Xenopus tropicalis: one gene and its partner. The protein of the gene in region 1 purifies or fractionates together with the protein of each later gene. This does not show direct contact. Links are inferred from orthologs where the notes say so. Each region holds a gene or a part of one and is shown on either strand. Other genes may lie near its edges.

What was found.
Region 2: the proteins of tradd (region 1) and birc2 purify together in Homo sapiens (affinity purification with western blotting; 3 studies listed by BioGRID and IntAct, with this or other methods). This does not show direct contact. The link is inferred for Xenopus tropicalis from reciprocal best matches to the Homo sapiens genes TRADD and BIRC2.

The regions. Positions count from the first base shown.
Region 1 is NC_030680.2:52,149,036-52,156,436, forward strand, and holds the start of tradd (tumor necrosis factor receptor type 1-associated DEATH domain protein), read right to left. Parts: upstream 4,434-7,401; 5' UTR 4,208-4,433; intron 4,204-4,207; exon of another isoform or gene 4,117-4,203; intron 4,097-4,116; exon of another isoform or gene 3,979-4,096; intron 2,824-3,978; 5' UTR 2,813-2,823; coding exon 2,683-2,812; intron 1,106-2,682; coding exon 825-1,105; intron 1-824. Other genes in the region: pdcd2l (programmed cell death protein 2-like), read left to right, coding at 6,198-6,302. UniProt on the Homo sapiens protein: Adapter molecule for TNFRSF1A/TNFR1 that specifically associates with the cytoplasmic domain of activated TNFRSF1A/TNFR1 mediating its interaction with FADD.
Region 2 is NC_030678.2:162,214,449-162,221,844, reverse strand, and holds the start of birc2 (baculoviral IAP repeat-containing protein 2), read left to right. Parts: upstream 1-2,896; 5' UTR 2,897-2,920; intron 2,921-3,249; exon of another isoform or gene 3,250-3,354; intron 3,355-7,396. UniProt on the Homo sapiens protein: Multi-functional protein which regulates not only caspases and apoptosis, but also modulates inflammatory signaling and immunity, mitogenic kinase signaling, and cell proliferation, as well as cell invasion and metastasis.

The DNA.
Region 1 (7,401 bases):
CAGATTTTGTACTCTGTGTTGATGCCTGTAGCAAGATCTACAGGATTTTTGGTTATTTTAAAGCACAACCTTTTCTAATCTTTTACTCTAAGTATCAGGGTTTTTTTTATATGTGGGCTACCAAGAACTTTCAGAGTTGCTGTGCTTTGGGATTTAGAGCTATTTATGAGGTAGCCTCATTACTTACTGCAGTTATTAACAAGCACAGTAGCATTGCTAAGGAGTTAGTGCAGGCATGTACATTGATACTAATATTTTTACCTTATTTGCAATGACACGGTTAAAAATTTCCAAAAAAGAACTCTTCTTGGGCCCTCCTATACTTACTGGTATGAGATCAGTTATTCAGAAAGCTCCAAATTACAGAAAGAACTCATCTTAGCAAATAATTCACATTTCTGTGTTAACAGTACATTATATGTGATCCCAACTAAGTTATACATAATCCTAATTGAGGCAAAACAGTCCTATTGGGTTTAGTTATTTTTTTAGAAGACTTAAAGAACAAAATTACAGAAAGATCCATTATGCGGAAAACCCCAGGTCCAGACCATTCTGAAAAACAGGTCCTTTACCTGTCCTATGACATAAGCCCAAATATATGGAAAAAAAATAGAAAATATATATTTCCAAGGAAAAACATGCGCCACACACAAAGCTCTATAGCATATACTTCTTTTTTGGAACATATTAATTATAAACTGTTTACATTTAATCAATTTAATTGAATATGGATTATATAACTCCATTACACCTCCAGTCATTGAAACAGATATATTGGCATGGTGTAGCACGTGGCAAAACTGCCTCTGACTAGATATTACCTTCATTTGGCTAATATATTTAAGGCACTGCTCTTCCTTCTCCAGTAAACTGTCCATTTCTCCTGTATCAATTTTGAGTTCTGTAAAAATAGGAAGCTGTGCCACAGAAAAACAATTCTCCAATTTGTTCTGGATCTGCATCTGCAGCTTGCGTTCCTTATAATCCTTCAGAAATATCTGGCATGGTTCCAGGCCGCAGAATTTTAGGTACAGGATAAGCTGCTGGTCACTAGAATGAATCTTAAGGATTTCAATGGAATCTCTGCAGCCTCCGGTAGATTCTGTTTAGATATGAGGCAGAAAGTCAAGCTCTAAAGCAAACACACAGGTCTGAGTGTGCCAGGAATTGGTGAAATTTAAAGAGGAAAGCTGAACAGGACAGTGGGCCAAGGTAATGTTGCCATGGTTGCAGACTTCCAGTTTAATAGAGAGAAAGCAATGGAAGAGGATCCAGACAGGCCAAAGGCAATGTATTGAGGTAAATAGGTGTTGTAAGAAATTATTCTGCAAAGGGGACCTTATAAATGGAAATTCTGAAAAGGGATAAAACTTCAGTGTAATGTACTCCTTGGAAAACTATTGACTGGTAACTTTAGTCTGGGGTAAAACCATATAAGTGCTAATTTCTGAAGTATTATTGCATTGGTGTGTTTGCGCCCCAGACAGAGGATACCTTTATATATTGTTTTGGTCGCAATATATAAAGGTATCCTCTGAACATACAATAATAGCACTTTATGTGGTTGGGATATACTGGCTACATCTGAATTATGGATGGCACTTAGATATGCAGTTTATGATAATACACCCTGAAGATGAAGTTGTTGTACCTTGGATGTATTGTTACTAAGTTAAGATACACTTTGTTTAGATTAAGATGCATTTTTATTAAGTTAAGATAGCACTTTGAATAGATTTTTTTGAATATGAATGTATACACTTTATAATTCACCATTTGAATATATGTATTTGATTTGGCTTAGAAGTGGCATGAGTGATATGGGTAAAATCTGTCTGTCAACCTCATAACAAACCCAGGGTAGCCATGGTTGTTTACTTTTATAAGATTTGGAAACCACCTGTTGCAGTAAGTAAGATAGTGAATTCTGGTTATATGTGAAGCTGCCATGGTAACCTGGGTTGTGTACAAGCAGTGAGCAATATGCATTGTAAATTCCACACACAGGAGGGTAACTGCCATGTTTTCAGTGAAGTGATGTTAATGTTTATGCACAGGAGCCGAGTAACTTCTGCTAACGTGTCGGCTTAAGCAAAGTCACATGATGCAAGCACGCAGGAATTGGCATTTGGAAAGAATTTTCTTTAAAATATTGTGGTATATATACCCTTCTGATGTGCTGCACCAATACAATTCCCCTAGACAAAGGCTTGTGCTGAAATGCTGGGGTGATTCTCACTTTATCCAAAGGTAACCGCTTTCTTTTCATTGAACTCCTACTGATGGTGTGTATTAACACTTTGCACTGTTGGATTTTTTTGCCATTGGAGATTAATACTGCACTATTGTATCCTTTTAAACCTTCAATAAAAACTGCTTGTAATAATCTCACCACCTCCTATGTATTATATTTAAAGGGTGTGCAGAGTGTTGGTTGTGTGTATTCAAAAGGCAGTAATAGCAAATAGAAATCCAAAAAGAAAGACAAGATCCACACCTTCATAATAACATAAATATGTAAAACAGATCAAAAAGTAAAGATTCCAGTTGGTTAAACAGTAAGACTCTTACAGTCTTGAGGAAAAGGAAACTATAAAGACAGATTTGAAAGTTTGAATCAGGTACATTAGAAAATACATTTTCATGACTTTCACTTTTCAAACACACTGTTATACTTGCCTGATATTGCACTCCTAAGTGCTTCATAGATCAGTGCCTTTTGGTCTGTATATTTTCTGGGAAGGGAAACCTCATCTGACTTTATATAGAGGTACACACTCCCAACCCACATACTAGATCCAGCTGCCATATCTCTAGGTCCTGAAAGACATGTATTATGTTTTTTTTTTTTATAATATAATCCTTATCACGACAACTAATGCAATATGATCATGATGCATAATACAGTTTGGTTGTATATGTATCTGGAAACAATGACAAACAAACAATTTCAAGCTTTTCCTGCTTACACAAGGAGCACTTGGACGCCAACAATGACTTGAGACGTAGAAAAACTAGGAATACACACGGGAGGTGGGCATATTGTGGATGTAGGGGAGGTCCTGAATAGTACTACCTACCACCCTTTGCCTGCAGCACTAGATCTGTTTTTTAAAAGTGGTAAAAAGTTTGTGTTGCTGACAAGTAAGTTGATCATACAATAAGTAAAAAGTTTGGCTACTTGTATGGTTTGAAGATGAATAAAGGTAAATTGGCTCTGTTTCTTTATGACCCCCCAAGCAGATAAATCCCTTGCACTATGCAGATATCTGATAACTTCATATACCATAGCGCTTTATAAATAAAGATATACATACATAAATACATACATACCTGGTGGTGTTCATAAATTCTAATACTGACACCGTTATACCATAGATTCCCCAAAAACAGAGTCTACTTTTGGATCTGGTAGGCTATATTCAATTGATAAAAATGTATCTGGTTATGCCCTCTAACACTCACTCACCGGGATCCACAGTGAAGAAAAACACTTGACTGAAGTGCTACTGAAAACATTTATACCTTCTCCTTTAAAATGGTAGATCCCATTTCATAAAAATACCCATGTGCCATTACAGACCCTCAGTTGAAGCACTTCATGTACACTGGAGGGCATACTACTTAAATTACTGTAAAATAAAATCCCTAAAGCCAAAAACTAAATTTAGAAAAAGTGATAAAAACAAAAACAGGCAACAAGACAACTGGCATAATGTCATCCTTGGTCTGACAGTATTTTTGAATAATCTGTATAATTTGTAGGAACTAGTAGTAATCCAAAGCAGGGCTGCCCAACTGTGAGCCTAGGAATTGAATCTATAGGCATCAAAAGGCATTTTATGACTACCAGGTCCTTTCTTTCTTACACTACTTCCCACAAATATGTGCCATACACAATATATGGCCCTCTAAATAGAAAACAACTTAGACTAGCCCGATCTAGATTAATATTATTGCAAAGCTCGGCATTACTTTGACTGCTGTACTACACGTCTTCCGGCAGTTCAGAATCATTTCACCGAAACCCAGTTAGAATGACTGTAGTTTTATAAGCGGTCAGCTCAATCGAGCACCACATAAACAGAATGACAGCCAGCAGGTACCTCTTACCCCGGCGAGAAGAAAGTTTTAGAAACTGTGACACTTAACAATCTGCGGTACGATACTGTACGCCCCCCTGAAAAATGCAAGAAAAATGTACCTGACAGCAGTTCCTGGCACTGCCACAGTGCTTCCGGCACTGCGCAATTCTCGCACACCTAGCGCGGCCGCCCCTTTAACCCATGCACTACCATGGACTAGGGCAGGAAGTGAAGGACCTAAACGTTCTACGACACGGTACTCTTGCTACAAGATATGCCTTTCAGTTCAAGCATCAGCAGCAAAAAATGTTAATTACACTCCCAACCTGACCCAGTTTTGAATAGCTGCGTTTAAACCCATTTATCACACACGCTTGCCAAACAATGGCCCTTTGCTGATTGGTCGAGCAGCTGTCAATAAAATGATCAGCTGTGTGGCGCTTGGTCGGAACTTAGCCAATCAGGAGTCGGCTAGGTTGCATACACTTCTCTTAGTATGGCCGGCTCTAGAGAACACGTGTTTGGGGAGGAACTCGTCTGACTACCCCGTGCAGGAAATTAAAAAAAAAAAAAAAAAAAGGTAACTAGTTAGGATGCTGGGAAATGTTAGGTAGTGCGTGTAGTGTATATGGCTATAGCTTCCGCCACCGCTGAAAAGTGGTTTTAAATCTTGTTCAAAAATATGTGTTTCCCCGTAAGTGTCTCCTATCTAGTACAGCATGACAGTCCGCTGTTCGCATGATGCCCAATTGTCAGGGATAAGGGCACCCTGGCATAGATTCGCTGTTCCCTGACAACTTGACATCATGCTAGTATTGACTGGTTACCAGTGAAATACTGCAGTAAGAGACTTTGGGGGCCGTTTTCTTCTTCTGTTAGTGACCCCCTGTCTTGAGTTGTCTATTCTTGTCTTTTTCTGAGTTGGTTCATTTTGACAGCTTGTAAAAGTGCCCGCTGGTCCAATGACATGACAAGCAAATTCCTCAGGTTATGGTAGTGGGCAGCCTAGGCTACAGGGAAACTGTTTCGAAGTCAGACAGTAAGCTCAAAACTTAGGGGTATATTTATCGTGCTGTGTAAAAAGTGGAGTGAATCATTACCAGTGATGTTGCCCAATCAGCAATTAGATTTCAACAGTTAGAAAACCGAAGCAAAGTATCTGATTGTCTGTGAAAAGCAACATCACCAGTAATGTTTTACTCTACTTTTTGCAGATTGCAGTGCGCAAAGTTGCATTCTTCACAGTTGTGTATGATGCGCCAATATGTGTGCTAAGGAGTAAATTCTGTGTGTGCAGATTTACCCACAGGCCCTATAAATTGACTGCTTATAGCCATTTCCGTGTTCCCACTGTCAGAAGGAATCTCTCATGGCTTAACCCTGTGTTAAGCCAGTGCCAACGTGGTTCCGCCATTACCTCTATAGGTGAGCGGTGGAAGAAGAGCGGTTTAGCTCTTCTAGTGCAGAACGTTCTATTGTAGTGACGGGGTGTCATCAGGAAGCCCCGGTGCCCATACACGGGCCGACTATAGCTGCCGATATCGGTCCCTTGGACCGATTCGGCAGCTAATCGGCCCGTGTATGGGCAGAACAGAGCTGCCTGGCCGACCGATATCTGGCCAGATCTTGATCGGCCAGGTTAGAAAATCCGGTCGGATCGGGGACCGCATCGGCTCGTTGATGCGGTCCCCAAACCGACTGCCCCATAAGATCTAATGTAATCCGATCGTTTGGCCCCAGGGCCAAACGATCGGATTATTTTTTTTTCAAGTCCCTTGCTACCCGATATCCGTGAAGATCCGCTCGCTTGGCGACATCGCCAAGCGAGCGGATGTTATAGTGTATGGGCACCTTTAGGGTGGCCAAGGGTGCAGAATCGCCCCCGTAAGGATAATAGATCACTTGAAAATTCTAATAAATGCCTGCAACAAGCATTTATTAGAATTTTGAAGTGATCTGGTATCTGGTGTGTTTTAAAATTTAAGTATGTTGTAATGATGGTAAAATGTAGGCATTTCTTTTAATCCGAGGCCCAATTGTGCTGTTTTTCTTTAGGTTCCACCTGCAGGTTTGTGAATAGTATTGGACTAGAAGCACCACATTAATGATATGGCACAGGCTCCTCCATCTGCACGTGTTCTTCTTGGGTTTAAGGATGCTTTGCAAGAAAGTGATGCCTCTTCATGGGATGTGAGCAAAATAGGTGGTCTGCCTGTGAGTAGAAGGAGAAAAGAAATACGTGTGTCAACATAGTGTTGTATGCAAAAACCACAATGTGCTTTAATGACATAATGCTAACTGGGTGTAAGAAGCCAATTTGTCTCAGATATAAAGAGTTAAGCTTAGAAAGACAGCTGGACCTCCAGAAAAAGAGAGCTGCAAAAGAAAATAATTGTAATTTGCAGGACAACATGTACAGTATATGGTTATTGCAACACTGTCAGTATTAGGGAAACATCCTTCCTATGGCTTTCTGGTATCTTAAAATTTTTGGTTATACTGAATGTCCAGTTATTCTTTTTACCAGCTCCCTTGTTGGGGTATAAGGTCTTCTTCAGAAGCAGAGACTACCCTCTCATTTTTAATTACTGTATAATTGATCAAGCCACCCTTTGCCCCAAAGATGAGAGGATAGCACACCAGGCAGATGTATTAATTTAAAGAGATTATGTCTATTAAAACCATGCTGCTAGTAGTGCTGTGGGCAGCGGATGCACTGGGTTTTACATTAAATTGCAATGCTGCAATTTGTTTGAATAGGTATAGTTTTCTGGATTAAAGATCTTTCTGTAATTTGGCTCTTCATACCTTAAATCTACTAAAAAAATAATTTAAACACGAATTAAACCCAATAGTATTGTTTTGCCTCCAATAGGGATTAATTTGAATTATTATTCAAATAAATTTGATTAAATTATTTGATTAAAATGGAGTCTGTGGGAGATGGCCTTCCTGTAATTCAGATCCTTCTGGATAATGGTAATCCCATAACTGTATTTGGATAAAGGACAATTATAGTGATATTCACTAGAGGGGGTGCCAATGTTTTAGGCACCCTCTAGTAAATAAAAGTGCTAATGTTAGACCTGGGCTGGCTCTCCTGTCCACTGAATTGTGTACTAATCCTGCTGCCCCAGCCTGCCATCATTTCCGAAATTTTAAAAATATATGCACTGTCCGGATAGTGAGCATGCTCAGTAGAGTAAAATTGGATTTTAAAGTCCAAATCTTACTGCACTGCACATGTGCTAGGATTGCAAGGACTTCGGCACAGCTGGCAGCACAATGTGGCAGGAATAGTATTGCAGCCCAA
Region 2 (7,396 bases), on another chromosome or scaffold:
AATAAGAACTAGAAAGGGAAGTTTGAGAACAAACTTCATGTTGGTTTGAAAAACGTGAAGTCACTGAATGAAATCTGATTGGTTGTTGTTGGCTCCACCCAGTTTTTCTAACCTTGAATCACAATTATATAGTAAAAACCACTGTGCAAAGTTTAGGGACCCTGGTTTTAATAGCGTCTGAATGGCAGCAACTTAAATTTCCCCACTGAAAGCCAATGAGTGACATCTGATTGGCAGTTGGTGGCTCCGCCCAATTCTTTTAACCTGAAACTGCAGTCCCCTAGTGACCCTGGTTTTAATACTGTGAGATTGGGAGCAGGTTGAATTTCCCCATCAATAGGTGAAATCTGATTGGCTGTTTGTGCCTGTCTCAGTTTAAAAAGTACACTGATAATATGTTTATCAAACAGAAAAAGAACAGAACATCCTGACTGCCATGTTTAAAAAGTACACTGATAATATGTTTATCAAACAGAAAAAGAACAGAACATTTTGATCGACTGTTCACAATACACCAGGGTTGCCAGGTTGGCAGTTTTCCTGCCAAATTGGGCTACTAATTTAAAGCCCTGGTGGGTTTCCAAAGTACAAATGTGCCATGGTACAGTTCTGGCCTATTTTTTGGAGCCTTGGCGGGTTTGGAGACTTTGCAAAGTTTTTTTCCCCTAACGTGCCTGTCCCACTGCATGCTGGGTAATGTAGTTGTATCTAACAATTAGCCTACAGCTAGGATTAATATAAAACTACAATACCCAGCATGCAATTGGACAGTATAGCCAGAGGCTCCATTTTATATTCCTTTTTGCTCTTTCAGGCTCAACCTGTCTGCCCTACAACCTGCTCTATAGGGAATGTGATTGTACTGTTACTTTCTACTGGGATGTGGGGGCAGTTCTGCAGTTGGTCCTTAAGCTATAACTCTCAGGATATCTTAGGGCACTGAAAGTTGTAGTTCAACACACCCATATGTATATCATTTTCCTACTTGTGTCTGTAAGTTACCTTCCCATATAGATTGTAAGTTCTATGGGGCAGGGACCTTCGTCTTGTGTCTTCGTCCTCTTCTGCCGCGACTAATCTCCCCGAGTTGCCATCAGTTGCTCATCCAATTTCGGCAAATCGACGAAAATGCCTGCACAGCGTGTGCCATCCCACCGGAGACTTACATTGTTGCCAGTGGGATGGCAATTCGGGGAGATTAGTCGCCCGCAAACAGGGAGATTTGTTGCGGGCGACTAATCTCCCTGTGTGCCAGAGCCCTAAGTAGCACTTTATAAATAAAGATATACATACATACATACATGTCTGGGGTTAATGCAACATTCTGAATCCATTTCTGTAGTGACTTTCCCGCTGGACTGGGCACAGAGGGAATTATCAGCCATCCCAGTAACTGGAGAGGGGGGGGGGCACGGGGTATGGGTAGTGATTATAGGCTTATAAAGGCAGGTTTTCCCATATCTACTTTTATTTTTTTTTAAGAATTATTTTCATTGCGCATATTTGGCTATTTTATATAGATTGTAAGCTCTACGGGGCAGGGACCTCCATCCTTTTTTGTCTTTGACTCTTAACTTATTGCAGCTGTATTTATCTTGTATTTATTTGTATTTATTGTTGTACTTTGTATTTATCTATTATTATCTTAATAACCCCGTTTGTATTATTCTACTGTACAGCTCTGCGTACATAAGTAGCGCTTTATAAATTAAGATATACATACATACATTTTTGGGCTACTTTCAAAGTGGCTTTTGGCTAGTTTTGGGCTAGTTTTAGAACTGACTTTGGCTAGTTTGGAAAAATCTGGCTACCCTGCAGTACAGCCTTTCTTTTTCTCCCTCATAAATTTAAATGGAGTACTAATTGTAAGCTCTTTTGGGCAGGGCTCTCTTCCCCTCCTGTATCGGTTATTGATTGCTTTATATGTTACTCTGTATGCCCAATGTATGAAATGCAGTAATTCCTTGTAGAGTGTAAGCTCTTTTGGGCAGGGCTCTCTTCACCTCTTGTATCGGTTATTGATTGCTTTATATGTTACTCTGTATGCCCAATGTATGAAATGCAGTAATTCCTTGTAGAGTGTAAGCTCTTTTGGGCAGGGCTCTCTTCCCCTCTTGTATCGGTTACTGATTGCTTTATATGTTACTCTGTATGTCAATGTATGAAATGCAGTAATTCCTTGTAGAGTGTAAGCTCTTTGGGCAGGGCTCCCTTCCCTCCTGTTATCGGTTAACTGATTGCTTTATATGTTACTCTTGTATGTCCAATGTAATGAAATGCAGTAATTCCTTGTAGAGTGTAAGCTCTTTTGGGCAGGGCTCCCTTTCCCCTCTGTATCGGTACTGATTGCTTTATAATGTTACTTCTGTATGGCCCAACATGTATGAAATGCAGTAATTCCTTGTAGAGTGAAGCTCTTTTGGGGAGAGGCTCTCTTCCCCTGACCTGGTATCCGGTTACTGATTGCTTTATATGTTACTCTGTATGTCCAATGTATGAAACCCACTTATTGTACAGCGCTGCGGGATATGTTGGCGCTTTATAAATAAATGTTAATAATAATAATAATCAGCCATTCTGGTAAATAATTACATAGTTTTTCCCCTGTGTAAATCCCAGCTTGCACACGCCATGAGTTAGGAAACTCCCCGGACTGGAATGAAAGCCAAAGAATGACACTAGTTCCACAAATGACAGCTTCCCACGCTTGGAAAGTCCCCGGATAGATTACAATGAATAACCTTTATCATACGAGAAACGAATCGTCATGAATGTATAAAGAAATTCATGCATAGGATATTCTAAATAAATTGGTCAAAACTATTTTTAATTCGTATTAAACATTACCACGTCATATACAATTACACGTACTGCGCAAGCGCAGATCTAGTTTAGCCGGCGCCATGGTACAGTCGAGGTAAGGGAGCGCTGCGGCTGTGTTTCTCTGTGTAGCTTGTGATTCCCGCGTTTTATATCGCTACGGTGGATTTTTATTGACGATTAAGCGGAAGAATGCGGCGGTGGCAGGAAAACGAGAAAAAAAAATCGGACGCAAAGGCATAGAGAGAAAATGGTCGCGGCGTTCCCTGTTGGAGTAAGCTTACTTTAGGGAAGCGATACCAGTTGTGCTCCGCAACCGGGCATACCCGGGTGCAAGTAATTTCTTTGGGCACAGGTTTAAATGGACAGGACGTATTGGCATGCGTCACGCCCCGCCCCCGCTCACAAGGTTTTCTATAAATTGTTTGTGCGACACAGTTTCTCCCTCAGAAAGTAAGAGAGCTCTGTCTCCAGCCCGTCGCCCTCCCTCCCATCAGCACAGGGTGTGGGCGCTGCTGAAATAGTTGTTACGTAAGTAATTTCCTTGCTCCCTTCTGTGATTGGGCAGCTTGCGGGTTCCCCGCCCCTTCTGTGATAGGCAGCTTGCGGTTTTCCCCGCCCCCTTCTGTGATAGGCAGTTATGAACAATGCAGCCTGAGTCTATTGGCGGATTGGTTGTGGGAGCGATGTCAATCTTTTTTTCGCTTGTAATGGCTTTTGCTGTACCGGACGATGTTACGAAGTTACGATGGAGGCTGCTAATGAAAGAATTGTTAGCATGATATAACCGTGTGGCATTGTTTGTACAGTAGCTTCTAGCGATACGTGGCAGCTTGGCCCCTGCTCCACATGAAGGCTGTGTGTAGCGACCCCCTTGCCTCTGTGTGTGGCTGCCCCAAGGGTGACTAAACGGAATGTCTAGTTATTTTAACTACTCTTTGTGCTTTTTCTTTTTTTAACCAATAGATATTTTTGTAATACAGCTCTCTGGTTTAAAAAGAATGCTTGTTGCTATGGCTTTGTTAGGTTGGCAACCAGACTATGGTACTTATGAGGGAATAAAGGCAGAAGGTGCTAAAGAAAATCTAGCCTTGGGATTGATCTCCTTTTCTACCAATAAAAGAGGAATAATTGGAAGTTGTCTCACAGTATGGATAATACCAAATGGATTAATGCTATAATGTAATTGTATAGCTTATTTCCCCTTTAAACATCCAGCTCAGCTCATGTTCCTGAATGGTACCTCACAAGCAGTCATCTAATGGATTTCTGTCACCATAAGATCATACAAATGGTTACTTGTAATAGAATGACCTATTAGCAGCTTTTTTTTTTAATTATTTGCCATTCTTTTTCTGCTTATTTCAGGAAAGCCAAAGAACATACGCTCTGTGAGGCTAAAGTTCTAAGGTTGCTTTGTATTATACTTTTTTAAATTCAGCCCCTGTCCTATTAATCTTCCAGTCTGGCTTTCAAACCACTGCCTGGTTGCTAGGCTAAACTGAAACACTAGCTGGTTTCTAAAGTAAATTGGAACACTTACTGCTCAGCACCCAGATGGCTGCCTCAATTCTACACTGAAAAAAAACAAAATGAAGCCTAATTGCAAATTGTTTCTAAATACCACTGTCTACATCTAAAGCTGGCCATACACGCACCGATAATATCGTATGAAACCTTGTTTCGTACGATATTCGGTGCGTGTATGGCATGTTGGCGAGCTGAATGGTGTGTGGCGGATCTGGCGATGTTTCGTGCGACCGATGGTTGCATGAAAGATCGTCAGATCGCCACGTGTGTGGCCACCTTAAAGGAACAGTAACACCAAAAAATTTATATATTTTAAAGAAATTAAACTATAATGTACTGCTGCCCTGCACTGGTAAAAGTTTTATGTTTGCTTCAGAAACATTACTAGAGTTTATATAAACCCTGGTGTGTAGCCATGGGGGCAGCCATTCAAAAGAAGAAAAGGCACAGGTTATACAGCAGCTAACAGATAAACCCTGTAGAATACAATGGTGTCTTATCTGTTATCTGCTATGTAACCTGTGCCTTTTTTCCAGCTTGAATGCTGCCCCCATGGCTACACAGCAGCTTATTTATATAAACTATAGTAGTGTTCCTGAAGCAAACACACCAGTTTTACCAGTGCAGGGCCACAGCACATTATATTTCCATTACTTTAAAACACTTTTATTTTTTGGTGTTACTGTTCCTTTAAGGGTGAAGACACACAGAGCTACTAGAAGCAGCTACTTGTCAGACAATGCTGATCATTTACTGATAATTGTCTTTTTTTTAAAAGGTGTTTATTTTTCATTTTAAGAACAATACAACATATACAGACATTAGCTACAAACAATGTAGCTGTTAACTTTTGCAGTCAAATTAGCAAGGTACAGTACAAAGAATTGTTGTTGTTTTATTGTTTCAGCTGTTATAGGATCATATACATTTACCATAGCTTACTATCGGTCTGGATTCAATCATTTCTGTTAGATGGTAGTTATGTTTTAGATTGCGGGTCATCGCTACCCATTCTGCTATTGTGGGTGCAATAGGACTCATCCATTTCATGATAAGTAATTTTTTTGCGTAGAACAGTGTTGCCCTCATTAAGTTTCTGGGTTGATTTTGTGGAACTAGCTCGTCTATCAGACCTAGGAGGCATACTTCTGGGGTCCTGACTCTAGGTAGGATTAGTTGTTCGTTGAGATATTGTATGATTCCAGACCAGTAGTTAGCTATGTGGATGCAGTCCCATACCATATGGATAAATCCTGCGTTGACATTGTGACATTTAGGACATTCTGCATTTGGTGATCTGCCCATAGCTTTAAGTCTGGTTGGGGTGATATATACTTGGTGGTAGAATTTGAATTGTATAACTCTATCTCTAGTGGCTATGAGAAAATCGTATATGTGGTCCGTTGCTTCTTCCCATTGCTCCTCGTTTAGTTGTGGGAGTATCTGGTTCCATTTCATTTTAGCTTTATCAAATGGGGAGGGTGTTACTTTCAGTATAACTTTGTACAGTTGGGAGAGGAGTTTCTTCCCTCCCGGATCCCAGAGTCTTATTTCCCATGGGGTTGAGCTCGTGTCAATTGTTAGTGAACCAAATTGCGCTTTGAATACGTGCCTTAATTGAAGGTATCTATAAAACTGCAAGTTTGGCTTCTCCAATTTCTCTTTGAGTATATTGAATTGGACAAAGATACCATTAATTAGCACATCCGAGAGCCATTTTACCCCATTGGCTGGCCAGTATTGGAAATCAGGCAATTCCTTAAAGTGTTGTAAGTTAGTATTATTCCATAGTGGCATTTGTAGTGAATGACCCTTGATGTTTACTCTGTTTTGCTTTATCAATTTAGCCCATGCTGTCATTGGGGTAGTAAGTACTTCTGGAAGAGGTATTATGTCCCTCTTTTTCCTATACGGTGCATTACGGAGTGCTTCCAATGAACCAATTAGGTTCCCATGTAATGCTGTGAGTGGGTTGTCAGGATCTGGGTTGAACTCTGATAATTGTCTTTACGTGAGTTTTAGCAGAGGCAATTCTCAGTATTGTCTGTGGCAGGGGATTTTCTGGAGTTTAGTAGCCTTGAAAAAGTAGCTGCTACTAGTAGCCCAGTGTGTGTTCACCCTAAAGGTGGCCATACACGGACCGATTTTTTACTTACAAACGACCGATTCGCGAACGATCCGATGCTATCGTTAAGTTATCGTATAGTTGGTGGTGTACGAACGATCGTCGGCCCACTAAACGAGCCGACATTATCGTCCCCAAAATCGATCGGCCAGGTTTAAAAATTTTGGTCGTTTAACGATAAAATCTGCCAGTTGGTGTGAGTGTCAGACATTTGTCTTTCAACGATTGTTCTCTGCGCATGTCACGATTGCCAGCAGCGGAAGTCAACGACATTCGATCGTACGTAGATGTACGATCGTAGGTATTTTACGATAATGATGCGACAAAATCTTTCCCGAATTATCGTTGCCCGTGGATGGCATATCGTATGGGAACTCGATCGCCATACGATCGTTTGTCGATATAATCGTTCATCGCACAACGAGCGAAATCGCCTCGTGTATGTTTATAAAACCTGAGCCATTTCTACGGGCAGAGTATGGAACAGAGTAGGGTGGGTCGTAGGAGCTTGGGATCTTGTTTTTGCTATTGCAGCAGCACATTCCTTTCGTGATAGGCGTTTGCAGGCTTTCCCTTCTGGGGCCCCATAGGAAATCTGCAATGTAAAGTTGTGCTTGAGTTCTGCACTGAGAGGGGAGACATATTAGATTTTATCATCATGCCTAAAACTCTTTTCTCTGGGGGGGGAGACAGCTGTGTTTCTTATGGCAGTGTCACTCCTGTTTATTGGCAGCACACCATGGGCTGCCTGTTAAAGGGGACGTTGACCCAAACGGTAAAATTTATAGCTAGAGAGAATGCACAAAATGCATATGTGATTTGTACACTGTGCCTTTCCCCAAGCCAGGGGACTGGCTGCATTGCTCTAACAATGTATCTAAAGTTGGATGTAAACCCCTCCACCTCAACAGATAAGGG